4 linked regions of the Stegostoma tigrinum genome follow. The protein of the gene in region 2 interacts with the protein of the main gene of each other region in a pairwise test. Links are inferred from orthologs where the notes say so. Each region holds a gene or a part of one and is shown on either strand. Other genes may lie near its edges. The genes, in order: pfdn1, git1, lamtor5 and c23h8orf33.

Evidence for each region.
Region 1: the proteins of git1 (region 2) and pfdn1 interact in binary tests that used the Homo sapiens proteins (3 or more experiments, as listed by UniProt). The link is inferred for Stegostoma tigrinum from reciprocal best matches to the Homo sapiens genes GIT1 and PFDN1.
Region 3: the proteins of git1 (region 2) and lamtor5 interact in a two-hybrid assay, tested with the Homo sapiens proteins (2 studies listed by BioGRID and IntAct). The link is inferred for Stegostoma tigrinum from reciprocal best matches to the Homo sapiens genes GIT1 and LAMTOR5.
Region 4: the proteins of git1 (region 2) and c23h8orf33 interact in a two-hybrid assay, tested with the Homo sapiens proteins (2 studies listed by BioGRID and IntAct). The link is inferred for Stegostoma tigrinum from reciprocal best matches to the Homo sapiens genes GIT1 and C8orf33.

What each region holds. Positions count from the first base shown.
Region 1 is NC_081366.1:38,410,683-38,417,956, reverse strand, and holds the start of pfdn1 (prefoldin subunit 1), read right to left. Parts: upstream 3,019-7,274; 5' UTR 2,512-3,018; coding exon 2,479-2,511; intron 1-2,478. UniProt on the Homo sapiens protein: Binds specifically to cytosolic chaperonin (c-CPN) and transfers target proteins to it. Binds to nascent polypeptide chain and promotes folding in an environment in which there are many competing pathways for nonnative proteins.
Region 2 is NC_081380.1:31,329,353-31,336,628, reverse strand, and holds the start of git1 (ARF GTPase-activating protein GIT1), read right to left. Parts: upstream 3,020-7,276; 5' UTR 2,849-3,019; coding exon 2,797-2,848; intron 1-2,796. Other genes in the region: ankrd13b (ankyrin repeat domain-containing protein 13B), read left to right, coding at 3,923-4,021. UniProt on the Homo sapiens protein: GTPase-activating protein for ADP ribosylation factor family members, including ARF1.
Region 3 is NC_081374.1:828,292-836,053, forward strand, and holds the start of lamtor5 (ragulator complex protein LAMTOR5), read right to left. Parts: upstream 3,001-7,762; 5' UTR 2,938-3,000; coding exon 2,903-2,937; intron 1-2,902. UniProt on the Homo sapiens protein: As part of the Ragulator complex it is involved in amino acid sensing and activation of mTORC1, a signaling complex promoting cell growth in response to growth factors, energy levels, and amino acids.
Region 4 is NC_081376.1:31,555,855-31,563,229, reverse strand, and holds the start of c23h8orf33 (UPF0488 protein C8orf33 homolog), read right to left. Parts: upstream 3,017-7,375; 5' UTR 2,892-3,016; intron 1,806-2,891; 5' UTR 1,727-1,805; coding exon 1,718-1,726; intron 703-1,717; coding exon 612-702; intron 1-611.

The sequences.
Region 1 (7,274 bases), on a different chromosome or scaffold from region 2:
AGTCAAAATTACCATTACTTATTAACATTAAGAGTAATTACAGAATCTTCATCTAGCCACATATTCTCAAAAGTTTTGAAGAAGAGACATGATCTCAAAGAAGCCTACAAAACACTCATGGAGATAACAGGGTGCATGCAGGTAAGATGTTCATCCTGTTTGGGGAGTCCAGAACTGCAGTACAACAAAAAAAAAAGGAAGCCATTGAGTAACAAAAAAATCATGAGTCCTGACAGTGTGGTGAATCTTTGGAATTCTCTGCCTCAAATGACTACAGAAGACCATTCATTGGTGTACATTTAAAGTTTGATACATTTCTTATTACCAATGGCAAATGGGTTATAGAGATAGTGTGGTTAAAAGGAATGAAAGCATTCTATCGACTATGATCGTAATAAATGACCAAGCAGTCTCAGAGAGCTATTCCTGTACCTATATAAAGGACCGATTTTAAATCTGTCTACTTTCTCAATCCCTTCACTTAAAGTTTCACTAACTATAATTTTCAAGCATGCAACTTTATCATTCCTTTAAAAACCTGTAATAGCCTTATATAAAGCACTTTTGAAGTTCTTAATTTCACATACAACTCTGAACTTCCAGCTTTTCAAAAGAAATTCATAAGAAATTAAATATGATTCCACAGTTCATTTCTTTTCTCATGAATTTCTAGAAACGAACACAAAAGCCTAAGTTTTTTTTAGCAGTCAATACCAATGACGGAACCATGTGTAAATTAACTCGTGACAGAGTTTCAGTTTGGTGAACAGCAGTGTGCAAACCAAACACTTCAAATGTAATCCTGCTAAAGTCCTGGATGCCAAGATAGAAAGGCAAGGGTCTAATTATTTTAATCTTGCATTCAAATTAAACAGCATATCAATAATTATAGTAGTAATAGTAATACAGCTGGACAATGTCTTTCAAAAAAAATGTTCCTGCAATAAAATAGTCTTATCGACACAACAACCACAAAGTCAAGCTACCATAGGTGGGATGCCATTCATGAGAGGTTTAATCCTTCCAACATGCTCAAGCCAGGGGTTAAATGTAAGAGTTTGCCTGGTGAACCGTGCTGAGTTTCCCAACCCCCAGATGAATGAGAACAGTGAGCGACAGAAACAGCATCTGGCTGTAAAATCAACTGCCAAATCCCAAAGGATGACTGACATTAAAGTACAGTGACCCAACATAATATGGGAAAAAGCTGAAAGAAAAGAAGATAGTCCATCAACGATTGGTTGTGCCAATACAATAGCATTAATGCATCCAGATGACACAAGCAACAGACTTTATTGTCGTTGCAACCTCAATGTAATCCAGTCTGTGCCCACAAATTTTACATTTACTACATAAACTGTTTATTCTAACACACATCTGATAGTGGAAGTAACTCACAATGCTACAGTTCACTAAATAGGTCCCCCAGGCACAGTGGTTCACATCCACTTGTTCCATCACAGGCACTAGCTTCAGTAAATTCAGTCTACAAACGCATAATAGCAACTCGACATGGTTATACTAACAGTCTGGCACCCATAAACCTCCACCACATGAGCAAAAGAAGCAGTGAAGCATTATTGCCAAATCACTCATAATCCCAGTGCAAATAAAATATCACTGTTACTGGTTATATCTTGGAATTCTCTATATAACACCACAGTGAATGTACCATTCACTGCAGCAGTTCAAGGTGAAAGCCACCATTTTCTCAAGCAACTAGGGATGAACAGTGAATGCAGCCTTCTGGGTGACACCCTCATCCTCAGTTTTTTTTTTAAAAAAGAACTGCTGAATAACTGATTATTGTTGCATCGTCCTCTGAGCACAAAGGTCTTTGAACTGTCTACTTTAAAAAGTGAGTTTGCCGAATTAACCATGCTGAGTGTGATAGAAATTGACAAGAAAATAAAAATTCTGTTAATTCAGATAATAAACAATATTACAAACACTTTAGGAAATTAAAATCTGAACATTTATAGGAACACTTAAAACAGACGACCCGTGAACAAACCCGTCCAAAATGATCGGTATTTGTCCAGATACCGATCGTACTGACTTACTTGTTGTGGTGCGCTTCCAAAATTTTAAAATATTAAGGCGTAAACCATAATCGTTAAGACAACAGGTAAGATCTGACATGAAGGAAAATAAATGCATTTCAACAGTACACAAAAGTGATAACATCTTGTACTCTTTAACACTCTAGAAATATCTCACTCCAAAATAAGTCAGAAATCGTGTTATTGCTGTCTATGGATTATACACATGGCAAATTTTCAACTCAACAGGGTGGGCAAGACTTCCAGCGCAGCCAGGCCTGCACCAACCACTCACTTTTAATAACCACCGAAAACAAATCAATGCTAAAACCCTCCCACAACATGTGCCTTTTATTCTGAGAAAGTTAAAGCCAGCGATCGGTCATCAAAAAAGGATAAAAACGCGAAGCAATGAGACCCCTGTGTCTTCCTGTACCTTCTTCAACTCCAGATCCACGGGGGCTGCCATCTTTAGAGGATGAGCGCATGCGCAGACCGCTCCTTACCGGCGGCGAGGAGGAGGAGCAGCGAGAGAGTTCGATGTGCACTGTCATGTGGTTTTTATTCTTGGGTCCCGTCTAATATCACACAACAATGCTCGATTGAAGCGGGTTTCCGATTTCATTTTATCAAATCAAAGTGAAAATACTGCGGATGCTGGAAACCTGAAGTTAAAAAACAAACAGCAGCGACGTGGAACGGAGATTGCTGGAAAAGCTCAGCGGGTCTGGCAGCATCCGTGTGGAGAGAAGTCAGGGCTAAGGTTTCAGGTCGAGCGACCCTTCCTCTGAGCTCCGGCAGCGTCTGTGGATGCAGGAACAGAGCTAACGTTTCGAGTCAGAAGTCAGTGTTTAGGAAGTTCCTGAGTTCTGAAGAAAAGTCACATCGGACTCGAAACGCTACCGCTGTTCTCCGTCCACAGAAGTAGCCGAATGGTGTATTCACGTTCTCATAGCCCCTTCATGTGCACAGTCAGGCTTGTGTGCCGGAACTGGCGCAGTTCTGAGGTCTCCACAATCTTTGGACACGTTGTTTGCTTTAAGTTTCTCTACATTTTGTAAACAACTGGTTCATGTTGATTAGGTAGTTGAGAAGATACGATTTGACCCTGGTTTTCTGTCAGGTTAACCTTCTAAGGGAAGTGACGCTTTGTTGAAGTAATTGGTATCTCTTGTTCCCTAGTGAAAGCACCACCTTTTTTTCAATATAGAATCACTTCCTGTTATAACATCATCCAGATGAAGCAGCATTATTTCACCAATTTAAACATTGGGAAGCCAGTTTTTTTTTTAACATGATGGGTTGTGGTATCACTGACCCGGTCAACATTTATTGTCCATTTGTTATTGCACTTTATACTGAGTGGCTTGCTTGCCCTTTTCAGAGGGCAGTTAAAAGGGTAATCACATTCCAATGGGATCTGGAATCACACATAGGCCAAAACAGGTAAGGATGGCAGATTTCCCTCAACCTAAAGAACATTAATGAGCAAGGTGAGTTTTTGCAACAATCAAGGACTATTTCATGATCCTGTGTTTTGAGGAAGGGTCACTGGACCCGAAAAATTAACTCTGTTTTCTCCTCCACGGGTGCTGCCGGACCTGCTGAGCTTTTCCGGCAACTTTGTTTTTGTTCATGATTCTTACCTGAGACTAGTTTTCAATTCAAGATTTATTAATTGTACTTAAGTTCCATCGGTTTCTGTAGTGGCGATTCAAACAAATGTCCCCAGTGCATTACATACTGAGGAAGAACCACTGGGCCCGAAACATTAACACTGAGTTTTCTTCACAGATGCTGCTGGACCTACTGAGCTTTTCCAGCAACTTCTGTTTTGTTCCTGATTTATGGCATCCACAGTTCTTTCAGCTTTTATTTCCCCAGTGCGTTGCCATGGGCCTCTGGTTTACTAGACCATTGACATTACTGCAATCCTACCACGTCTTCAAGATACATGAGCAGCATAACGTTGCTCCTCCACCCAATCACTTCCTGAGTTTGCATAAGATATCTGCTGCCCTAGTACTTTACAGCAGGAAAAGATAGCGGTGTAGCGATAATGTTAGTGTTTGTGAATCCTGATGGGGAGGTTCCATCTGGTTTGCCGTATGAAATGTTTTTGGCAGCCTTTGCATGATGACTACCAGATTACTCCACCCCCTAGGAATCATGGTAGCCCACAAACCGGCAGCTACACTGCGACAGCTACTGATAATAAAGAAAGGGTCTCACAACCACAACTAACAGAACCAATGTTATTTACAAGATACCATGCAAAGACTGCCAAAAACGTTATACGGAGCAAACCAGAAGGAAACTAACCATCAGGATTCACAAACACCTATTAACTACCAAGAGACATAACCAACTATCACTCATTTCAGTACACCTGGACAAAGAAGGATACCAATTCGATTGGGACAACATAGCCAAGCTAGGACAAGCCAACCAAAGACATGCATGAGAATTTCTGGAGGCCTGGCACTCAAACCAGGACTCATTAACAATGATGTAGAGCTGGACCCCATATACCAACCACTAAGAACCAAATCCGGAAGTGATGTCACTCATACCAAGAAAGTGGGACATATAAATAGTAAGCGGGAGAGAACACCGACGTTGCACCAGAGGCACACTGATGATGTTACCCAGTATGATGACAAAACGTCTGCAAACAAACTTACCAGCTGAACAAGAAAGTCGTCGACTGCATTACACCCTCTCTGCATAATGTTTTCCTTGACTCATACATGGAATGTGAGCTTTGCTGGCTGAAACAACACTTATTGTCCATTCCTAAGTATTCTTGAGAAGGCGGTAATGAGCTGTCTCCTTGCCTTGCTCTCAGATGGTTATGAGTGTTTGGAACTCTCCATTCATAACCAAAAAATTTTCAAATGTCATCACCACATTTAAAATTCGTTTTTCAGTGTAGTGTGATATGAATGTTGTCAGTATTTTGCAACCTTTAACTGGGCATAAGTGAGTCCAACCTCATTACTATAACTTTATAATACAAGACTAATTGTTATTCAGAGTTCATGTTACCAGGGTTCACTTCCTGTGATAGCTCATGTCAAAGCTGGTAGGAGCAAAGGAAAGATTTACTCTAATTTCTAACTTGTTGTGACATTGTTCAATTTTACTGCTCTAGTTCAGGATTTCAGGACAGGATGAACAACCACTTTGTTCATGAAGAAAGTAAGCAGTTTCTTACTATATATCATTCTGGAAAAACCCCAGTTGGCCTCAATCAAGCAGAATGTTCTTGTGCCAGCAAAACATTTCCTATGAATTTGGTGAACGTATTCAGAGAAATCCAATCTACAGCAGTAAAGTTAATTACAGCTGACCTTTATTTTGGGAGTTAGAAGTCATCACAGGCTGCGTTGACAAAAAAATATCTAAAGTCGCATTCACAGTACAACATCAGCATTCTACTAAGCAGTTTTCACTGTTCAAGTATTACTGAAGTTGTACTGTAAATTTAAAGATCGGATTAATTTGATTTGTCACCGCAGATGGTGCAACTACGGCACAATGTCAAACTGCATTTTAAAAATCTTTTGAAACCTACCGCTACATGCATTTAATTTAAATGTTTAGACAATGCATTCTCTGTGGCCTGTACACAAAACATTTTCCTTCTAATTGCTTGTGGAGGAGGTCTCTATTGCATTTAAGAATCAAAGTTCCAGCTAGACCACATGAAAAGTATATTGTCTCACTGCAAGCCACGAAGAAATGAGTAGGTGTAGCACAAATGTCATATTTGACACGACAAAATTAAGAGGTTATCACAGACCGTCTTGAAGATTCCAAAATATGAAAAGCCCTAAGTTATGCACAAAGAGAACAGCCATCGGGCAGAACATTCCAATTGCTGGCATTCATATTCATAAGTAATTTGTATCAAAAACATCTTTCTTCTATCTTTTGCCTTCTTTTCTTAGTGACATTAACTCAGTCCGTAATACAGTTCACTGCATACCTGCAGCCTTCCAACATTTTACTTAAGTGCCCATTCTTTTATGACTTTTGAAGGCTTCAGGCTCTGACAACATTCTGGCAGTAGTGCTGAATATTTATAGTAAAGAGCTTGGTCTGCTCCTAGCTGAGCTGTTCCATGTAGAGCTGCCAGACTGGCATTTACCTTACACTGTGAAAAATGGTCTAGGTGTGTCCTGTACACAAAAATGACAATTCCAACCTGACCAATTAACGCTCCATTAGTTTACTTTAAATCATCAGCAAAGTGCCGGAAGGTGTCATCAACAGTGCTATTAGGCAGCACCTGCTTAGCAATAAACTGCTCACTGACACAGTTTGGGTTATGCCGGGGCCACGTGGCTCCTGGCCTTATTACAGCCTTGACTCAAACATGGACAAAAGGCCTGACCAGAGGTGAAGTGAGACCATTTGCTTTTGATATGAAAGTAGCATTTTATCAAGTGTGAAATCAAGGAGCCATAGCAAAACTAGTGTCAATGGGAATCAGAAGGAAAATTCTCCACTGAATGGAATCATCCCTGGTAGAAAGGAAGATAGCTGGGGTTGTCGACGATCAGTCATCTAAACTTCGGGAATTCTGTGCAGAAGTTCCTCAGGTTAATGTCCCAGGTGCAACTATCATCAGCTGCTGCATCAATGATCTTCCCTCCATCATAAGATCAGTAGTGGGGGGTGTTCACTGATGATTCCATAATGTTCAGCACCGGTCACAACTCCTCAGGTACTGATGCAGCCCATGCCCAAATGCAGCAAGATGTAGACAATATCCAGGTATGGGACTGACATGTGGCAAGAAACATGTATGCCACACAATTGCCAGGCAATGACCACCCCCAACAGGAGAGAAGTTGACCATTGACATTCAATGGCACCACCATCACTGAACCCTACTGTCAACAAACTGGGGCCCCATTTATCAGATAATGATCTGAACTGGCCATATAAATAATGTGGGTAACTACAGGTTCAGAGGCTAGTAACCCTGCAGAGAGTAACTCAACTCCTGACTCTAATTGGCATCCATGGTCAACAAGGCACAAGTCAGGATTGTGATGGTGTGACTGCCCACTTAATTGGATGAGTGCAGCTCCAATAACTCAAGGAGCATGACACCATCCAGCAAAACTGCCTGCTTGATTAGCACCACATCCACCACCAGACACATTGCAGAAATTCTCAAAGATAGCTTCGAATATACCTTTCAAAGACATGGCCATTATC
Region 2 (7,276 bases):
AAAAGGAAAATAATAAAAGATGCATGAGGAAGTAGATGTGGAAATTAGACCAAGTCGTTTAAATAGCAAGAGTAATCAGTACAGACTTAATTGGGCAAGTAACCCACATTATAAAATTAAGATTTTAAGTATACTTCACAGAATGGAGGCCTATAATTCATTACACTTTTGATCAAAGGTTTAAGCGACCAGTGAATCAACAGATGAAATTCTCCAACAATAAGGACTTGGGCTTCATTTCTTTTTCCTGAAAGCCAGGTTTATTTTTCATAATATGACTACAAGTAATGAGACAACGGCTTGCAATTGCCCAACTGGAAATGCTTCACTGGATCATGTGTTCAAATCTATGTTATTCCAGATAGTGCAATGGCTCAGAGGTTATTGTATTGTATTATATGATATTATAAATTGTCTGCAGTGTCGAGGGATGTTTGGGCTAGGTGGATTTGCCCTGGTAAATGTGGAGTTATGGAAATAGGTTGGTGGGATGCTTTTTGGAGGGTCAGTGTAGATTCAATGGGCTGAATGGCCTTTTTTGGCACTGTATGGATTCTATGATTAAAAAGTGTAAGATGTATAAACTAGTTGTTAGGAAACAAGACATTTTAATGATATTTGGAAATAAACTTTAATAGCCCACAGCTAGTATAATCTCTTCAGAGGGTCAGTGTGGACTTGATGGGCTAAATGCTCTGGTTACACTTTCCTCCCCAGTGTTTGATGTAATCCACACTGCTTACAGCTATGTCCTTTTCAACTCCAAATATTTGTGTAGGTGTGCAACTACATCTCTTGCTTAACACACACACTTGGCCTGGAGGATATCTGAATTTCTCGCCCTTCTTGGAGACAATGGTTTTGATTTCGAGATGTTTAAAAATATTTTGATAAATTTATGTTAATTTCCTCTGTTTGATGCGTGACAGAACTCCAAAATGGAATATTACTAACGATTCTCCCATCCACTCCAATTGTCTATAACATGAATAATCAAAAAACTTTCTTCCTCCACATCCCCAACATTTAGTTGTAAGTGCTCCCATCTTCCATCAAAAAGTCACTCAAATACAAATAATTTACATATAAAACAGGACAATATGTAACAATATTTTCCATAGCAAATGTTTTCAAATCACACATCTCAACTTAAAAACACAAAAGACAGTCTCAGGATGTGCAGTGAGTGCTTGGAATTAATAGAAAACTTGACATAAGCTTTAATTTTAAAAATGCATTAACAGAACATCGCACATTATTGTTCATAATTACTCTGACTTTAAAAACTGTAAAAATAGTTAAAAGATGCATAAGACCAGCATACAAAGCTCAAAGCAGTAGATGTCACGCCATCAATAACAAGTTTTTTAAAAAAAGAGATCTTATAAACCTACATCATAAGCTCTCCTTTCGGCTTTTCACAAATTCACTATTTTACAACTGTACTAAGTAGTCCCAACTGCATAATTTCCCCTATCCACTGCAGTCAACTACTGGGGCAGCACCTTGGATAGGAACATGCGCAACACTGGACCCTCTTCTTAGCGCTAGATTAACATGATGGTTGACAGCAAGACCATTCAAGTGTGTAGTTTATTTTTGAATACCAAATATGCACAGAGATGATACCAAACACAAATAACCTCAAGAAATAAGTGAGTTGATTTCATTTTTACAGGGTTAAAAGAAAACAGAAATAACATTCAACTGTCAAAATTACCATAAAACTTCAGAATTCAAACATGTGTCATGAGAAAGCCAACATGATTTATAATCTATTATATTGTGTAAACTTCAAATTTTGAATTATAGCTAAAGATAAACATAATATTCAATTGGCATAATCACAATTACTGCAAACTCCCTTTTAAAAGTATACAGCTCACTCCAACAGATTTGATGTGTGCCAAATTAGATCTGATATCTCCTACAAACTTAAATCACAGCTCAGCTGGCAGACAATCAACTTGCAATTGTGCCTCCGCTGTTATGTAACTCAGTGAATATCGCAAAATAGAACACTTCAAAATGGACCGAATCCTATTTTTGATCTATATGCGAATAATTAGAAATCCACCTCAAATGAAAAGTGAAACAGATGGCTAAGTTTTCGGGTCAGATCGTTTTGAATCAATAAATCAGATACCAATGAAAAGTTTTACACATCAATTAAGACTCTCAGTAGAGTAGAATCAAAGTCGTTGCATACAGCAATTCGATCACAAAGAATCACTGGTTTCTTAGGGATGGCATCGCGAGTTCATCAAACCGGTTACTGTGTCCGGTTTATCACTGGTCAGCCTTGGGACAATAGCCAATACTGCAACCGGGAACTTGACGTTTCCAAACAAGACTTTCACAAGTGGCCACTAAACACTTGGGAAGGAAGAGGCAAGCACACACGCGCGCGCGCGCACACACACACACACACACACACGCAGCCCAAGCCGAAATGGACCATCCTCTCCACATGTAACGACACAGGATTCTCAGTTCAGTTTCCAATCCCCGGCACAAATGGCTGACCGAAAACCCACCGCCTGGCAACCGGTGCCAGGGATTGGGTGCTGACTGCCGACCGCTGACCGACCGACTGACCTGACAGGCCCCAAATCAGAGCAACCACCACCTCCTCCCTAACACCCCCAAACCGTATTGCCCCACGGACCCCGTCGTCCTGTAGAAGCAAATGGGGAGGGGGTTGGTGGGGGGGTGGGGAAGGGGTTCGGGCTGATTCCCCGGGCTCCCGAATTGACCACCACTCTCTTTCTCATCCCCATTCACCGAGTCACGTACCTGACGCGCTGCAGTCGGCGCACACTTCGTTGGGCCGCAGCTTTCGGGACATTTCTGCTCTCCTCGATGATGATGATGATGATTCTCCCGGTCTCTGCTAATTTATTCCCAGCGCTCACCTCCTCCCCTTACCCCAAACCCCGCTACCTCTCCAGCCCCTCCTCCGACACCGCCAGGTCTCCAAATCTCTCAGGGCCAGTGTGTTTAGCGCAGACGCATCCGGTTCGAGACAAGTTACTGGAAAACCGCAGCTTTCCCCCGCCCGCCCCCATTCCCAGAGCAACCAGGAAATGACGACAAGACCCGGCCCGCGCAGCGCAGCCCAACCTGCTGCTGGTGGGATTCCCAGCGCCGTCACCTGACTGGCAGCAGGCTTGCCCAATAGACAAGCCGCTGCTTCCCAATTACGTCACCGCAGGCCAATCAGCCCTCATCAGCCGCTAAGTTTGGTAGACACTGGGCGAAGGAACGAGCACCAACAGGAGGCGGGACGTGGAGGCGGTAACCCGCCTCAAGGTGTGCTGGGATTTGTAGTTCTCGCCGGTTAGCTGGTGCGAGGGTGATGTCATTGCCCAGAACGGAGCACTTTCAGTTGCCTACCCATATTCATACATATTAAAATTATTTCCCCGGAATTGGTCAAAAACATGTAGCTCATTTTAAATTGCAAATTCCCACTAATATTTATCACCTCAACGGACGAACTACAGCTCCCAGGAGGTTTTAAAACAGCGCATCTCCAATATTATAGATAATGGGGTTGGTAATAAATTTAAATGCGCAACTACTGCATTTTCTCACTAATTGGTACTCATGATGAACGGAAAAAAATCAGTAGTACATGCTAATTGGCCACGTTGTAGATTTTCTTTATATTATTTGAAATCTACGCTCCATACGTATTTTCAACCTGCATATTTCCCCCACAGTAACTTGGTAATTCCTCACCCTTCGATTTTCTCCTACTTCCTCTTTTCCCACACAGTTAAAGCAAGAATTACAGCGCTTCCTATCGTCCGATATTCAGCTGCCGAGCAATATAGGGATTGGTGCCTGTTGCCAGGGGTTTGACTATCTGCTGCAAAGGTAGTTTGCATGTTATCTGGAAGAGAAGAATGATATCAGAATGATTTCTGCGAGAAGGGTGGCAGAAAAATATCCGTTGCATTATTTGGTTTGGCATAATAGATACAAGGATCTGGAAAAGGAACTTAGCACCAAGCAGGTGGGTGATGTGTGTGTGTATGTGTATTTATGGGGTGGTGCAATGCAAGTGGAATTGACTAAATGCTATCAGATGCAGGAACATAGACAAGTCGCTGTTTAATTATAAATCGGAAATTAAATGCTGTCAGTCGGAAGAATTGGAGATAATCTATTTTTTTCTACATTAAAAATATTCTTGGATCCGAATTGTGACCATATCCGTTTTCGTGCATTAGGTTGGATGGAATTGTGCTAGTGCCGTACAATTAGCTGATTCCTTCGTTGGGTTATGTATTGTTTAAATATGCTTCTTCCAATAAGGATTAAAAATCATGATCGCGAAGTTTTCATTATATATTGACTTTTAGTCTTTATTTTCTTCGGTCACTTAAAGACGAAATGTGTGGTTACTATTCTCCGCTTACTATCTTATATGGAAATGAGGCATCCATAGTAATACGGGAACCATATGTGTTCTGTAGTGGAAAGAAGATTATGCCAAGTGCTTTAAAATATTCCCGTAAATCCTGATGCCCATTTTAACACCCAAAACGAAATCCTGAAATGGGTTCCAATATCAGTCGGTCTCCAAAAGGAAGTTGCCATATTGTGTGTGTGTGTGTATGTATGAAAAGAAAAGCATGTTGGTCTGTCAAAATAAATGTTCTGTGGAAGTAAGGCAACTACAAGCTCACAGATTGGGTTCAAAATAAACCGCAAACTAAAAGACCCTGGTTTAATTATCTCACATAAACTTCTTTTGAGAAGATCTGGAATTTCAATTTAGTTCCAAACTGTGCAGATACAAAAAATATTTTCGTAGGGTTGCACCTGTTTCCTATCAAATTGATAAATATCGTTCAAGGTTCTGTCGTGCTGTCTGATGTAGCTTTCCGGCTAGAATCAAACGATGTTTGATGAATTGTAAGAAACCTTTCGAGTCTGGATGTCGTTTTAGCATAGTTTCTCCGGTGTACAATGGCTCCGACCGACACTTGATACAAGAGGCCAGAAAAAAGGATGGGACTGTCATCTCTGTGGCTGCACGCTTTAAAGAGCTGAATGCACAGTTAATCACACAGGCGCCAACCATTCCGCGCCCGGCACACTGAAACATCGCTTTTCCAAGCATGGTCTCTATGTCAAACCAATCTGATTGATTTTTGAGACAGTGGAAATTTGTTACGTGGTGTAGAAATGAAAAGCAACAGGGAAATTAGTGTATTCATTAAAATGTCAGTATCACATTATTTTATTCAACCGCCATGTCAAATAATTGTTAGAAAAAGCAATAAAGAATATTCGACAGATGTTAGCGAGATAAAGTCAGTAATATAAACCGAACCTCTTTAACCAGAATTGTCCGTCCCCATATGCAGACTCAGCTCAGATTTTATACATTTAAAAAAAAGACTGGATGCAGTGAGTTCACAAAACCTATGTGAATAAGCACATTGTTCGGTTTGTGCTGTAAGTTCCAATTTTTGGGTGATGGGTGATCAGTAATCAGAAACTAAACAGGTCAGGCAGCCTCCGTGCAGCGGAATTAACACGGCCCTCTCCAGAATTTTGGTGAAAGGTCATCGACCTGAAAGGGTCACTGTTTGTCTCCAAAGGCTGCCTTACCCGCTGAGATTTTCCAGTTTTTTTCCCGTGCTCACTTCGCATTTCCAGTATTTTACGTTTGTGCCAGAAACGGTAAGATTGGGAGTCACAAGACACAATACTGGTCTTCCTTCCCGTTTAGAAGTTGGTTTTTACTTGAACTTGAATTGTTGAAATCAGGCGCAGAACTATTCCATCTCTCTTGAGCGAGTTCCGATTTACACCGAGGCGGAGTCTGAGTAAACGGTTACAGCACAAAATACAGCCTTCGTGACCAGGAAACTGTTCTCATGCTAAGGTGCTGAATGCAACTGACATTCCCTTGTGATCATATTGGAGCTGTGGGCACGGTAGTAACTGGCTACCATTTGGGAATCAATAAAACAAAACTGTTTTTACCCTTTTTGGAAAAGACCAAATCACCCCACCCTAAAAGTAGCCGAAGCCTTTGGAAGGGCTCCGCTGCTTGTGATGTGCAGCAAATGCATCTCCGCATTCTTCCGACCCGTTCTGTTGCAACTTGTAAGGGCAACTGTGACGGTAAAGTGGAAGTAGCACACACCGACCCTCTTGCTGGCCTGGCCTCCCGCCACAATCCGCAACTGACAGGTGAAAATACAGGAGGTCAACATGACTCTGGACCGGAAATGCAGCAAACGGAGCAAAACACGTTTCACGCATCCTTTATAGAACTGGGAGAAAAGCCGCTGGCACACGGTGTCACTGAATGGGGCTTTAGCTATATGCAGGAACTAGAGGACGCTCAGTGTATTCCGAGAATGCACAAAGTCTGAAATACTGCAAGCAATTACTAGGACAGAGTTGGGAACGATTATGTTAGGAATTGGGTGTACAAAGCCTCCGGTAAATGGAGTGAGAATGCAGAGTTCGAGATGAGGTTGGGGGCGGGGGTGGTTTGTGGCGGGATTCTGAATTTCTCACGGCTGGCGATGACCGGGTCCGATCTGAAACAGCCACAACACCGTGATGGTTTCGTCTATCTCCCTGAAAACGGGGGTCTACCTCAATCAGTTTGCATCAGCGTTCTTGTACGACGCGTGTGAGCTTGTGTAGCATTGCAAAATATGTTCCAAATCGCGGTTTCTGCTGTAAAAAAAACAGAAAAAGAGGGGCAAACAGCGGCCAGTTCCTTACCATTGAAGCCCAAGTTAGATCGGGGTGTCTATCAATAATCCAGCCAGCCCCTGTCCATATAGCCCCCATTTGGCCGATAATTGTAACAAATGTATCACGCAGACAAGATAATCGATTAGCAGCAGGAACATGGAGCTGATACTTCTGTGGGATTGCAGATACTGCCTGAACGGGAGGAGACGATGGACTTGGTTCACAAACTTTGTTTTCTATACCCATGTACCCCTTACTCACAAATATCTACAGGGAATTGGGCCTTTGCTGTTTAAAATTACGGTAAATGTGCGAATATCTTCGGGATATAATGATATCTTCAGATTCCTAACTACTGAGCTGTTTGAAGATATATAAAGCCTGTTTTGAGACTACTAATTGCATAAATTTGAAGTCACTCAAGGGAATTTCTGCAGAAATTTTATTCAGAGTAAATAGTTTTTTGTGCTTTTGCGTCTGAAGTTTTGGGTCTGACGTCAATGAAATTGTGTACCGTTTAATAATCCAAGCGTTCGCAGTT
Region 3 (7,762 bases), on a different chromosome or scaffold from region 2:
CTGCCCCCTCCTCTCCCCCTCGCTCCCCGCCCTCACCCCCCCTGCCCCCTCCTCTCCCCCTCGCTCCCGCCCTCACCCCCCCTGCCCCCTCCTCTCCCCCACGCTCCCGCCCTCACCCCCCCTGCCCCCTCCTCTCCCCCTCGCTCCCGCCCTCACCCCCCCCTGCCCCCTCCTCTCCCCCTCGCTCCCGCCCTCACCCCCACTGCCCCCTCCTCTCCCCCTCGCTCCCGCCCTCACCCCCCCTGCCCCCTCCTCTCCCCCTCGCTCCCGCCCTCACCCCCCCTGCCCCCTCCTCTCCCCCTCGCTCCCGCCCTCACCCCCCCTGCCCCCTCCTCTCCCCCACGCTCCCGCCCTCACCCCCCCTGCCCCCTCCTCTCCCCCTCGCTCCCGCCCTCATCCCCCCTGCCCCCTCCTCTCCCCCTCGCTCCCGCCCTCATCCCCCCTGCCCCCTCCTCTCCCCCTCGCTCCCGCCCTCATCCCCCCTGCCCCCTCGTCTCCGCCTCGCTCCCGCCCTCATTCCCCTGCCCCCTCCTCTCCCCCTCGCTCCCGCTCTCATCCCCCCTGCCCCCTCCTCTCCCCCTCGCTCCCGCCCTCACCCCACCTGCCCCCTCCTCTCCCCCTCGCTCCCGCCCTCATCCCCCCTGCCCCCTCCTCTCCCCCTCGCTCCCGCCCTCATCCCCCCTGCCCCCTCCTCTCCCCCTCGCTCCCGCTCTCATCCCCCCTGCCCCCTCCTCTCCCCCTCGCTCCCGCTCTCATCCCCCCTGCCCCCTCCTCTCCCCCTCGCTCCCGCTCTCATCCCCCCTGCCCCCTCCTCTCCCCCTCGCTCCCGCTCTCATCCCCCCTGCCCCCTCCTCTCCCCCTCGCTCCCGCTCTCATCCCCCCTGCCCCCTCCTCTCCCCCTCGCCCCCGCTCTCATCCCCCCTGCCCCCTCCTCTCCACCTCTCATCCCCCCTGCCCCCCTCCTCTCCCCCGCTCTCACCCCCCCTGCCCCCTCCTCTCCCCCTCGCTCCCGCCCTCACCCCCCCTGCCCCCTCCTCTCCCCCTCGCTCCCGCCCTCACCCCCCCTGCCCCCTCCTCTCCCCCTCGCTCCCGCCCTCACCCCCCCTGCCCCCTCCTCTCCCCCACGCTCCCGCCCTCACCCCCCCTGCCCCCTCCTCTCCCCCTCGCTCCCGCCCTCACCCCCCCTGCCCCCTCCTCTCCCCCTCGCTCCCGCCCTCACCCCCACTGCCCCCTCCTCTCCCCCTCGCTCCCGCCCTCACCCCCCCTGCCCCCTCCTCTCCCCCTCGCTCCCGCCCTCACCCCCCCTGCCCCCTCCTCTCCCCCTCGCTCCCGCCCTCACCCCCCCTGCCCCCTCCTCTCCCCCACGCTCCCGCCCTCACCCCCCCTGCCCCCTCCTCTCCCCCTCGCTCCCGCCCTCATCCCCCCTGCCCCCTCCTCTCCCCCTCGCTCCCGCCCTCATCCCCCCTGCCCCCTCCTCTCCCCCTCGCTCCCGCCCTCATCCCCCCTGCCCCCTCGTCTCCGCCTCGCTCCCGCCCTCATTCCCCTGCCCCCTCCTCTCCCCCTCGCTCCCGCTCTCATCCCCCCTGCCCCCTCCTCTCCCCCTCGCTCCCGCCCTCACCCCACCTGCCCCCTCCTCTCCCCCTCGCTCCCGCCCTCATCCCCCCTGCCCCCTCCTCTCCCCCTCGCTCCCGCCCTCATCCCCCCTGCCCCCTCCTCTCCCCCTCGCTCCCGCTCTCATCCCCCCTGCCCCCTCCTCTCCCCCTCGCTCCCGCTCTCATCCCCCCTGCCCCCTCCTCTCCCCCTCGCTCCCGCTCTCATCCCCCCTGCCCCCTCCTCTCCCCCTCGCTCCCGCTCTCATCCCCCCTGCCCCCTCCTCTCCCCCTCGCCCCCGCTCTCATCCCCCCTGCCCCCTCCTCTCCACCTCTCATCCCTCCTGCCCCCTCCTCTCCCCCTCTCATCCCTCCTGCCCCCTCCTCTCCCCCTCGCATCCCCCCTGCCCCCTCCTCTCCCCTCGCATCCCCCCTGCCCCCTCCTCTCCCCCTCGCATCCCCCCTGCCCCCTCCTCTCCCCCTCGCTCCCGCTCTCATCCCCCCTGCCCCCTCCTCGCCCACTCTCATCCCCCCTGCCCCCTCCTCTCCCGCTCTCTTCCCCCCTGCCCCGTCCTCTCCCGCTGTCATCCCCCCTGCCCCCTCCTCTCCCGCTCTCATCCCCCCTGCCCCCTCCTCTCCCCCTCGCATCCCCCCTCCCCCCTCCTCTCCCCCTCGCATCCCCCCTCCTCTCCCCCTCGCATCCCCCCTCCCCCCTCCTCTCCCCCTCGCATCCCCCCTCCCCCCTCCTCTCCCCCTCGCATCCCCCCTCCCCCCTCCTCTCCCCCTCGCATCCCCCCTCCTCTCCCCCTCGCATCCCCCCTCCTCTCCCCCTCCCCCCTCCTCTCCCGCTCTCATCCCCCCTGCCCCCTCCTCTCCCCCTCGCATCCCCCCTGCCCCCTCCTCTCCCGCTCTCATCCCCCCTGCCCCCTCCTCTCCCCCTCGCATCCCCCCTGCCCCCTCCTCTCCCGCTCTCATCCCCCCTGCCCCGTGCCCCCTCCTCTCCCCCTCTCCCCCGCTCTCATCCCCCCTCCCCCTCCTCTCCCCCTCTCTCATCCCCCCTCCCCCTCCTCTCCCCCCCTCCCCCTCCTCTCCCCCTCCTCTCCCCCTCTCCCCCTCCTCTCCCCCTCTCCCCCGCTCTCATCCCCCCTGCCCCCCTCACCACAATTTCTCTCCCCTCCCCCTCCCCTTCTATATTTAATGTTATTTCTGACTCTATAATTATTTCTCTCTCACTCTCGATTTCCCCTGAATTTACTTTGAAGATTATCTCCCTATATTGACTATTTATGTGTTTAATGTTATTTCTCTCTCACGTCTCTCGAAGTTGGGAATCTAAAGCCGACTCCATTCTTCACATCCGGGAACTACCCAAGGGTTACCCGGAAATAGCGTCACCAGTGGGCGGTACACCCGCGTTTACCCGCCTGTTCACCCAGTGTTGACCCGCCACTGCAATAAAACCCCGCCTCCCCACCTTCATTCCCCCTCCTTCCCCTCCATCCTGGCATCCTTTTCCCTCCCCTCGGACCCCAAGGACTAGCCCCGCCCCCTGCACTAACACCGCCCCCTACCTTAACCCCGCCCCTGCAGTAGAACCCCTCCTATTTTCCCTGCCCCCTTCTCTACGCCACCCCCACAATTACCCTGCCCCTCTGTGATGCCCTTCGGACTAGCCCCGCCCCCTGCAATAACACCGCCCCCTTCCTTGACTCCTCATCTGCAGTAGAACCGCTCGTATTATCCCTGCCCCCTACACTAACCCCGCCCCCCACGTTAACTCCGCCCCTGCAGTCATACCCCTTTGACTGACCCTGCCCCCTTAACACACCCTCCCCCCTGTACGAACGCCGCACTTTGCCTAAACCACGCCCCCTACACTAACCCCGCCCCAATACTGACCACGCCCTCTACACTAACCCCACCCCTACACTAGCCCCGCCCCCTGATCGCCCGGTCATTGGACTGGGCGGTGTGCACGACCTGCTGATTGCAGGGACAGAAGGAGTTCCGGAGAGTCAGGGTAGAATGTAGTGGCCAACGCTCACCAGAAGGGATTGGGGACGGTGGAAATTTGGGAGTATATAGCTGTACAGTACATTGCTGAGACTATTTTTGGAATACTGCGTACAATTCTGGCCACCCTAATTTAAGAAGGATATTGTTAAACTTGACAGCGTGCAGAAAAGATTTCAAACGGTGTTGGTACTGTTGGAGGGTTTGAGCTACAGGGAGAGGCTGAATGGGCTGGAGGTTTTTCCCTGGAGTGCTGGGGACTGACACCTTACACAAGTTTATAAAAGCATGAAGAATATGGATAAGAGTGAATAGTCAAGGTCTTTTTCCTAGGGAAAGTGGATTCCTAAACTAGAGAACATTGGTTTAAGTGAGAGGGGAAAGATTTAAAAGTACCTGAAGAATGTGTTTTTCACACAAACAGTGGTGTGTGTATGGAATGAGATGCCAGATAAAGTGGTGGAGGTGTGTAGAATTACAATATTTAAAAGTCAAGATAATAAAATGTGAGGCTGGATGAACACAGCAGGCCAAGCAGCATCTCAGGAGCACAAAAGCTGACGTTTCGGGCCTAGACCCTTCATCAGAGAGGGGGATGGGGAGAGGGAACTGGAATAAATAGGGAGAGAGGGGGAGGCGGACCGAAGATGGAGAGTAAAGAAGATAGGTGGAGAGAGTGTAGGTGGGGAGGTAGGGAGGGGATAGGTCAGTCCAGGGAAGACGGACAGGTCAAGGGAGTCACGGGTGGTCTCTTGTTCGCTCCACACTGCCCTCCAACCCCACCACATCCGGCACCTTCCCCTGCAACCGCAAGAAATGCTACACTTGCCCCCACACTTCCTCCCTCACCCCTATCCCAGGCCTCAAGATGACATTCCACATTAAGCAGAGGTTCACCTGCACATCTGCCAATGTGGTATACTGCATCCACTGTACCCGGTGCGGCTTCCTCTACATTGGGGAAACCAAGCGGAGGCTTTGGAGACCGCTTTGCAGAACACCTCCGCTCAGTTCGCAAGAAACAACTGCACCTCCCAGTCGCAAACCATTTCCACTCCCCCTCCCATTCTCTAGATGGCATGTCCATCATGGGCCTCCTGCACTGCCACAATGATGCCACCCGAAGGTTGCAGGAACAGCAACTCATATTCCGCCTGGGAACCCTGCAGCCTAATGGTATCAATGTGGACTTCACCAGTTTCAAAATCTCCCCTTCCCCTACTGCATCCCTAAACCAGCCCAGTTCGTCCCCTCCCCCCACTGCACCAGACAACCAGCCCAGCTCTTCCCCCCCCACCCACTGCATCCCAAAACCAGTCCAACCTGTCTCTGCCTCCCTAACCGGTTCTTCCTCTCACCCATCCCTTCCTCCCACCCCAAGCCGCACCCCCAGCTACCTACTAACCTCATCCCACCTCCTTGACCTGTCCGTCTTCCCTGGACTGACCTATCCCCTCCCTACCTCCCCACCTATACTCTCTCCACCTATCTTCTTTACTCTCCATCTTCGGTCCGCCTCCCCCTCTCTCCCTATTTATTCCAGTTCCCTCTCCCCATCCCCCTCTCTGATGAAGGGTCTAGGCCCGAAACGTCAGCTTTTGTGCTCCTGAGATGCTGCTTGGCCTGCTGTGTTCATCCAGCCTCACATTTTATTATCTTGGATTCTCCAGCATCTGCAGTTCCCATTATCTCTAATATTTAAAAGCCATCTGTTTAGGTATATGAATAGGAAGGGTTTAGAGGGATATAGACCAAATGCTGGCAAATGGAACCAGTTCAGATTGGGATGTCTGGTTGACCTGGATGAGTGAGAGTCTTTTTCCGACGATGATGACTTCAGCTTGGACGAGGGGGCATAGCTACAAATTGAGGGGTGATAGATTTAAGACAGATGTCAGAGGCAAGTTCTTTACTCAGAGAGTGGTAAGGGCATGGAACACCCTGCCTGCCAATGTAGTTAACTCAGCCACATTAGGGGTATTTAAACGGTACTTGGATAAGCATATGGATAATGATGGGGTAGTGTTGGGGGAAGGGCTTAGATTGGTTCACAGGCCAGCGCAACATCGAGGGCTGAAGGGCCTGTTCTGCGCTGTATTGTTCTATGTTCTATGTTCTAGTTGGATGGAAGGATCTGCTTCTGTGATGTATAACTCTATGACTTCACAAATCTTAGAATTCTTTGAGGAGGCAATAGGCACGTTAGACAAAGGAGAGCCAGTGGATGTGATCTATTTAAATTTCCAGAAGCTTACAGAATACTGAGAACCTTTTAATAGAGAGGATGTTCCCGCTAGTGGGAGAGGCTAGGACCGACAGTCTCAGAGTGAAGGAAAGACCCTTTAGAACTAAGATGAAGTGGAATTCCTTCAGCCAGAGGGTGGTGAATCTGTGGAACTCATTGCTGCAGAGGGTTGTGGAGGCTACGTCATTGTGTGTATTTAAGACAGAAATTGATAGTTCTTGATTGATAAGGAGATCAAAGGTTGCAGGGAAAAGGCAGGAGACTTGAGTTGAGAAACATATCAGACATGAATGGTGAAGCAGGTCTGATGCTGAAATAGTCTAATTCTTATCCTATATGTTATAGTCTTAAGGCTTTTAACTAGGTGCCACACAGGAAGTTCCTAAATAGCACAAGAACCCTTGGTGTTAAGGGCAAAGTATGGCATGGATAGAGGATTGGCTGACTGGTATAAAGCAGAGAATCAGGTTGAAAGGATAGTTGCCAAAATGGCAGCCAGTGACTACAGTCAGATCTATTGTAACACAATAGTTGCATTCCTGCGCAACATTGCATTACAGAAAATCACACTGTAGGAATAATGGGCCCAATGGGAAAAGCGGTGTTAGGGGTAGACCGTCAAAAAGTATCACTCAAAAGCATAATACAAAAGAAAGCGCAGTTTAAATAAATGTTTAATTCACATCTAATAATGAAATAAAGATAAATTTAATGCCTAATCTTGAAAAATCGTCAAGATGATTTTATGGGGGAGGAGTTTTTGAGGTTGCTCTATTGTTAATGCAGAGGCTGAGCGTCATCATCATCATCATCATCACCTTCAGGTGCAGGTATAATTTGTCTGATCTCTCCTCATTACTTAAACCTGAAGTTCAGGTATCATTTTTGTAAACCTATGTTGTACTCCCTTCATGGCCAATGTATCCTTCCCAAAGCCTGGTGCCCAGACCCACACTCAGTACTCCCAAGTGCAGTCTAACCAGGGTTCGATGTAACTGCAGCATAGCTTCTATATCCTTGTACTCCATCCATCTAGATATAAAAGCCAACATTCATTAGATATTTGAATATTTTCTGTACTTGTTTGTGGTATTTTATAGATGTATGCATCAGAAGCCCCAAGCGTCTTTGAACATCTACTATATTTAACTCCATACCATCTAGAAAGCACCCAGATCTATCATTTTTCGGTCTAAAGTAGGTAACTTCACACTTATTTACATTGAACTTTGTTAGCCAGCTTTGCCCTTTCTCCCAGTTGATACCCCATTGTGATGCTATTGCCAAAATCTACACTGTCTAAAATGCCATTTAACTGTGTCATCAGCTTTCTATTTATGACTTTATATGCCATTATCAAAGAAATTAATAAATAATGTGAAGAATTGTGGGAATGACACTGCTGATTCTATGATGACCTTTCTACAGCATGGGGCTAGATACAGACAAAAGCTTGCTCTACAACGTCCCCATCAAACGCTCCCAAGACAAGTATAGCTTGGTGTCAGGTACAGTGTAAAACCTTTTACTCTCTTAAACAGAAAGCAAACCCTCTCTATCAAACATTCCCAAAACAAGGTCAGCATGGGTGTAGATACAGAGTAAAACTCTTTCTACTCTTAAAAATAGAAAGTAAACCTCTCACTATATTGTCCCCATCAAACTTACTTAGGACAGAGACAGCATGAGGTTAGGTACAGTGTAAATCTCCCTCTACTCTTTCATGTTGTCCCAGTTTCATTTTAGAATAATGATACTTTGTTGGTTGGATTTCTGGTATGTCTGTGGCTGTTTTAAATTGTTGTTTATTTTACTCCATTTGACTCTCCTAACCAATGAGAAGCATGTTTAAAGGGCTTTCCAAGATTACAACATTACATATTGTAATCAACCCCTATCGACAGATAACTCTTGC
Region 4 (7,375 bases), on a different chromosome or scaffold from region 2:
CAGCCTCAGGAGGCAGGCAGCAGTGAGAACATTCCTCCTATCTGCATGAACGTTGTCAATTCCTTTCATTATTCTGAAGTCGGTCATTAATCTTTGGAATTCTCATCCATAGCCTGCAGTGGAGACTAAGTCACCAACTATAATCAAGGCCACTTTAGACAGATTTTTCATCTATAATGAAACTGAGGGTTATGAGAGCAGGCAGGAAAATAGGATTAAGACCAACATCAGATCAGCCACGAACTTACTGAATGGTGGAACAGTGTCAAATGGCCTAAAGGCCTAATCCTGAGCCTGTTTCTTATAATCTTAGCCATCAACCACATCTCAGGATAGGGACACTCTTATATTTTCTTTTTTGAAAATGTTTTTGTTAGCTGGAAGTTTTGGTTTTACCAAGAACAAAAAGCTTCCCTCAAAACTCTGAAACAGAGAGATGAGGTTCACAGTGCATGCGCTCAGGTTGGGGTCCATCAGAACTGAAAAGAAGTTCTTTATTCAAGAACTGACAGCCAAAATAGGAAATTATAAACCAGTTAGCATGACATCACCAACCAGATCCCCTCACTACCTACTAACACTGGGCTGTCCACTAGGGATTGACTGCTTACCTTGTTGTGATGACAGTTTGAGCTGGGAGACCCCAGTCTGTTGTTGCTGGATCCCACAATCCAGCTCCACCTGGATGTTCTTGTTGAGGCTCTGTAACAGACAGAAAGCTTTAGCGAACCAATCTGTGAGCGACAATAGTAAAGCAGCATTGAGAAAACAGGTCTAGAAAATTAAGAATGAGTAACAATATCCACTTCCCATCCAAGTATTTAAACAGAAGTCATAATAGATATTCAACACACGCAAGAAGTAATAATAATTACAATCTGTGCTGTGATATTAAAGTGTCACTATTCATTGCATTAGCACTCCTAATATATTCTTAGAAATACATTGTGAAGCAAAAATCACTCTCAGAGCTCTGTAATCTCTTACTATTTAGATAAAGTTTTATACTTCCTGCCAGAATGGATAATTTCATATTATGTCAGATTATATTACATTTGCTAGCTATTTCCCCACTCTCAACCTATCTATAAATATTTGCAGCCATATCCTCTTCACTTTAACTATCTTAGCAATGATAACAAAGTTAACAATGATTCCTTCTTTCTCTTCATCCAAATCATTTATACAAACTGAAAAGATGAGACTCAGCACTGATCTCCATGGCACACCACTTGTTACAATGGCTAAACTAGAAAATGACATGAATGCCTACTGATTCCTATGAGCTAGACAATCTTCTAACTATAATCTTAACATGTTATCTCTTATACCACAAGCTTTTACTTTCTGCAGTAACTTTTGATGTGGCACCTTATCAATGCCTTCTTGTAATTAAAGTACAGCATATCCATTGGTTCTCTTGTATCCATAGCGTGTTACTTTCTCAAAGAGCTTCAAAAAAATTGTTAAACATGATTTCCCTTTCATAAATCATATTGTCAAGATAATCAGGCAAAGACACAACAAGCTGCATCCCCTGTATATACAAATATTCAAGAAATTGTATGAAAGGACTGGCCCAGTTCATACCCTAACCATTTTGGTGAATACATTGCCCGCCACCCTATCGAGTAGGGCAGTAATCAATTAACATGCAACTGGGTCAGGAGAAAAGAGAGCTTAGAATAGTCTTAATTCCGATAATGTAATCACTCACCTCCTCCATTAAAGTATCCAAAACACCTCCAACAGCTTAACAGATCATTGGCAGCCTGGGCACCTCCCCAAAGCAGCAATCTGTGCACCTGAAGGAAAAGACAAGACTCACTATAAAATCACACTAGCAAGGAGCTGTGAGGCACAGTGATATTGTCTCTATCTCAGATTTGGGAGGCCCAGGTTCAGGTTGTACAAGCTCCAGAGGAATGTTATTGTATCTTGAACAAGTTGACTTAAAAAAATCCCTACAATCTTGCCAGCTCTCTGCTCCTACTGGTGCCTGTTACTAAGATGTTGATCGAGGTTGAAAGCTTGCTAAAAGGGTATCCGTGTCGCTTTGAGATAATGGGAACTGCAGATGCTGGAGAATCCAAGATAACAAAGTGTGAAGCTGGATGAACACAGCAGGCCAAGCAGCATCTCAGGAGCACAAAAGCTGACGTTTTGGGCCAAGACCCTTCATCTGGTTCCCTCCCCCCACTGCATCACACAACCAACCCAACTCATCCCCTCCCCCCACTGCATCCCAAAACCAGCCCAGCCTGTCTCTGCCTCCCTAACCTGTTCTTCCTCTCACCCATCCCTTCCTCCCACCCCAAGCCGCACCTCCATCTCCTAACTACTAACCTCATCCCACCTCTTTGACCTATCCCCTCCCCACCTCTACTCTCCTCTCCACCTATCTTCTTTTCTCTTCATCTTCAGTCCGCCTCCCCCTCTCTCCCTATTTATTCCAGAACCCTCTCCCCATCCCCCTCTCTGATGAAGGGTCTAGGCCCGAAACGTCAGCTTTTGTGCTCCTGAGATGCTGCTGGGCCTGCTGTGTTCATCCAGCTTCACACTTTGTTATCTCCGTGTCGCTTTGATAGTTTTCTCCGGTTGGAGTTACCCCGTTCGAATACAGTGTACAGCCCGTGAGGTTCCTGGTGTTCCTGTACTTATTGATAATCTCAGATCACTGATCATCACAGACAGATGGACATCCTCCTGCGTAATGTTTTGATTGAGAGTCTATGCCAAAGGTAGGGGCTGGTTTGGAAAAGACAGGATCTACATTTCCAACCACGTGAAGCTCTAGAACCAGGAGCTTTCGACTGTGAATCATTTCACCCACAAAAGTCTGACAATAGCTGAGGCTGTCATCTCAAAAGGTTCTAGTCGAGAGTGCGTACCCTTCAAAGTTTCACAAGAAACCGTAGAAATAGGTTTCTCAGACTCTCCTTTTCTCGGCACTCAGCCACCACCGGAAATCGGGTGTTCTGTGTCCGTCGTTCAATTTGTTCCCCCGGTTCAGTGATAGACCACTTTCCAGTTACATCAGTGGGACACCTCCGGAAGCCGCCATTATGGAGGGAACAAATTCATGTGACAATCGAAGCAAAGCAGGATGCATTGGAATTGGTTAAGAGCTCTGTACATTCCAGTCTGGCCTATTAACTAGTTCCAGAATATTCTCGTCTACTGTCTGTTATCCAATATTTGGAATGTTTTTTCTTTCTTCTCACTTCAATGCTCTCGAATTCAGAAAAAATTCAAAGCCGGGGAATGAAATGCAACCTTTACATAATAGGCAAACTGTTTCTATTTTCCGGTTCTGGTCAGTGGATCTATGTTACAAAGCTCTGCACTTTCGCATTTTCAGAACAGCCTTGCCTCTTATTTTCGGTTTTCTCCCGGTTATTTCTATGTTTCTTCCCTAATAAGCCTCTCATGTTGTCTCTTTTTTTAAAAATTGTTTTTAACCTCCTATTTTGTGTTCTGTGACTGTTTGTTTGTTTCAGAAAATACTGCTCATGCAGTCACTTACCAGCAAATCACATTTTGTGCGAATATTTTTAAGGGAATTCACTTTCTAAATTCCAGGTTATGCATAAAGGTGATTTAGCACTGATCAAACATACTCTGCCACAAATGTGAAACTGGCAAAGTCAATTCACAAATTGGTTACGTACAATATGAACTTTTGAGCAGACTGGACATTTAAGCAGGATTTCTCCGTCCAGTGCATTAGATCCCCAGTCCTTCACATTCTTCTGTTGCTGATACAATCAAGTAGGAATTAAAGGATAAAAATGCACGGAGTAAGGTAACCAGTTGTTGATTTTCAGACATCACTCCCACCAATTGATTTCATATTTTGACATACAAACCTTCCAATGTAATTTAGTTATCAGTTTAATAATCCTGACCTCTCACTTAGGACGTTGAAGTGTTACCCTTCTCTAGGGTGAGTTACTGCCTTAGAATCATGCAGTACAGGTCATTCAACCCGTTGAGTCTGTACTGCCAAAGATAAAATACCACCTACACTGGTGTCACTTTCCTGTGCTATGCTTCATTGTTATTGACCATTAAGCTAAGGAGAACGTCTGCTTTCTATCCACCCTGTCCATGCCGTCTTCAGAGATCTGTGAGCAAGGACCCAAGATCTCTCTTTTCCTACGAGTTTCTTCGTATCTTGCCGGTAGAGTACTCCCTTGTCTTGTTCCTCCTTCCAAAGTGCATCACCTCTCAATTACAGTTAAATCCATCAGCACTGATCTGCCCATCTGACCAATCCAGTTTTATCTTCTTGTAACTTGACAAGTTCCTCTTCACTGCCAACCACAGCCAACATTTTGTTAGCTACAAAGTTATTATTTTTCTCCCTCTGCACCATTTGTGAATATTATAAACAAGGGACTCAGCACTGATCTGTGGTACACCACTGCATACTGGGCTTCAGTCACACAAACAGCCTTCTACCACCACTTTCTTATTGCTGTCTCTAAGTCAATTTTTGATCTAACTTGCCAAATTACCCTGAATCCCATGAACTTTTACCTTTATCAGTCTGCTATGAGGGACCTTGCCAAAATCCATGTAAACTACATCAACTGCTCTATCTTATCCAAATATTTTGTCACCTTCTTGAAAATATTCCTCCTGTTTTGTTAGATATGTCCTCCCTCTTGGAAAGTTATGTAGATTATCCCTAATCAGACCTTTCCTTTCTAAAAGGAGGTTAATTCCTCCTTAGATAACGAAGTGTGGAGCTGGATGAACACAGCTAGCCAAGCAAAATCTTAGGAGCACAAAAGCTGATGCTTTGGGCCTAGACCCTTCATCAACTTTAGAAGGAAGTTTGTTATACTCACTGGTCTATAGTTTCTAGGTCTATCTCTACAACCTGTTTTGTAAAGTGGAACCACATTAGCTGTCCTCCAGTTCTCTGGCACCTCTCCCTGTGGCTGGAGATGATTGAAACATCAGAGCCCCTGCAATTTCTTCCCTCCTCTCCCACAGTAGCCTGGGATACAACTCCAAACCCCAGTATATATCCACTTCTAAACCCACCAAACTCTTCAATACCCCCTTGTTTCTTTTGTTAACTTGCTCAAGAACTTCATAGTCCATCTTGTTGAATTCTGTTCTTGAATCCTCCTTAAGATTCTGTAACAACAATGAAAGCTGTTTGACCTATTGTGCCTGTGCTACCTCTGGAGGAGCAGCTCATCTACAGTCACCAGCCTACCTGTTCCTCAGCCATGCATACTCTTCCTTTACAGATAATAAACAAACTTCCATCTAAATTTGTCTCCATTTCCTCCTCATACAGCATGTTACCTTTACTTGTTTTACCAATTGCCTTACATCTGTACCCTCTCGTTCATGAGCTACCCAGTAATAGGAATCTTTCCCCCATTTCTCTGTCCAGACCCCTCTCAATTTTGAATACCTTCAATCAAATCCACCTTCTCTAAGGAAAACAGTCCAATTTCTCCAATCTATCTACATAACTGAATTCATAGAATATAATCAAGAGTCATACAGATTCTTTGGTTCTTTGGCAAAATTTTCTGAAGAAGGGTCTAGGCCCGAAACATCAGCTTTCCTGCTCCTCTGATGCTGCTTGGCCTGCTGTGTTCATCCAGCTCTACACCTTATTATCCCAGTCTATCCAGCCTCTCCCCATAATTCAAACCCTCCACTCCTGGCAAAACTCGGTAAATCTCTTTTGAACCCTCTCCAGCTTAATAATATCCTTCCTAATACAGGGCAACCAGAACTGGACGCAGTCTTCCAGAAGAAGCCTCACCAACATCCTTGATATAGTGTGCTGGAATCATTTTCACAATTTTTTTTACTGCACTCACAGCGATGAATGGCCAAATACTAAAGCATTTCAGACAAAGAAATATGTAACTTACAACTTTTAATGACATGTAGCAAATCCACATCTACAGTGGATGTGTGGGACTGACAGGTGTGGCATGCCATGCCAGCAGATCGCCTGCCAAGAGTAGCCACAACTAGCAGCAGTGAACAGAAATCCTTCTGGTCCAAATCAAATAGATGGAAGCACGAAAATTAAAATGGGTGTATTAATTTTCATTTTGTTTTTCTTATGTTCCTGCCAAGCCTGTGAACCAATGTATTTGTATAAAATCACTAAAATTATTTCAGCATTCAATGCAGTCTGTATGTAATACAGAATGAAGTTCACACGAAAAACAGAACATGACTTTGCTGGCTTGCATATATGTAAAAGGAAGCAAAGAACTGCAATAGTATTTTTCAATGTGTTCAAATTTGAACTTTCCACCACACAGTCAAGGCAATTAAAGATGGGTAATAAATGGCTCCTTTGCCAGCAAATGTTCTCAACATGAGAAAAGCTGTAAAATAAATTAATGAAAATTAACGAACATAGCACAGCAACATTCAGCATATAGTCATTAAGGTCTGTGTGTTCAAGGTTTTTTTTTGGCAAGATCTGTAGCTCAGGTTGTGTGAGGTTGTTGACTTGATCGCTGAGGTGGCTTGTTCTTGTTCAGACGATTTTTACCATGCTAGGTGACATTATCAGTGGAGCCTCTGATGTGGTGTTATTCTGCTCTGTTTGGTATTTATAATGTTTGGTCCGTTATGGTGAGTAGTGTCATTTTTGTTTTTGTTCTGTATGGGTTTGTGTATGGAGTCCAATTGTGTTTGTTGATTGCATTACGGGTGGAGAACGTTCCCTCTAGGAATTCCCATGCATGTCTATGTTTGGCTTGGACTACTGTGGTTACCTTGTCCCAGTTAAACTTATGGTCTTCGTTGTCTGACTGTGACAATATTAAGGAGAGTTCGTGCTATTATGTTGCTAGTTGATGCTCATGTATTCTGATGGCTAGTATCCTTCATGTCCAATGTAATGTCTGTGGCAGTCGTTGCATGGTATTCTGTAAACTATGTTGGTTCTGCATGTTGTGGGAATGGGGTTTTTAAATCCATGAGTGTTTGACGAAAAGAGTGGCTTTGGGTTTGTGAACCACCACGATTTCTAGTGGTCTTTAGTAGTCTTGTTGTCAGTTCCAATATGTCCTTAATGTGTGACCAGTGTGTTAGGGCATACTGTGTCCTCCTGGAGGTGAAGTTGCAGGGATATCACCTGCGCGTGACTAGATGCCTAGAGTAGTTATAAAGAGTTACATAGATGACATTTGACCAGTGGGCACCACAGTGCATTATCACACCACAAAACCAAATTTTAATGCAACTTACACAAAGGTCTAATGAAAATTTTTTTAACAATGCAACTTTTAAGGGTCCATCTGGCTTAAATTGGCTTTAAGTTAGTTTCATTGTTTTACTGGTCATTAAAAATGGTGCAAAGAGGACCATGGCCCTT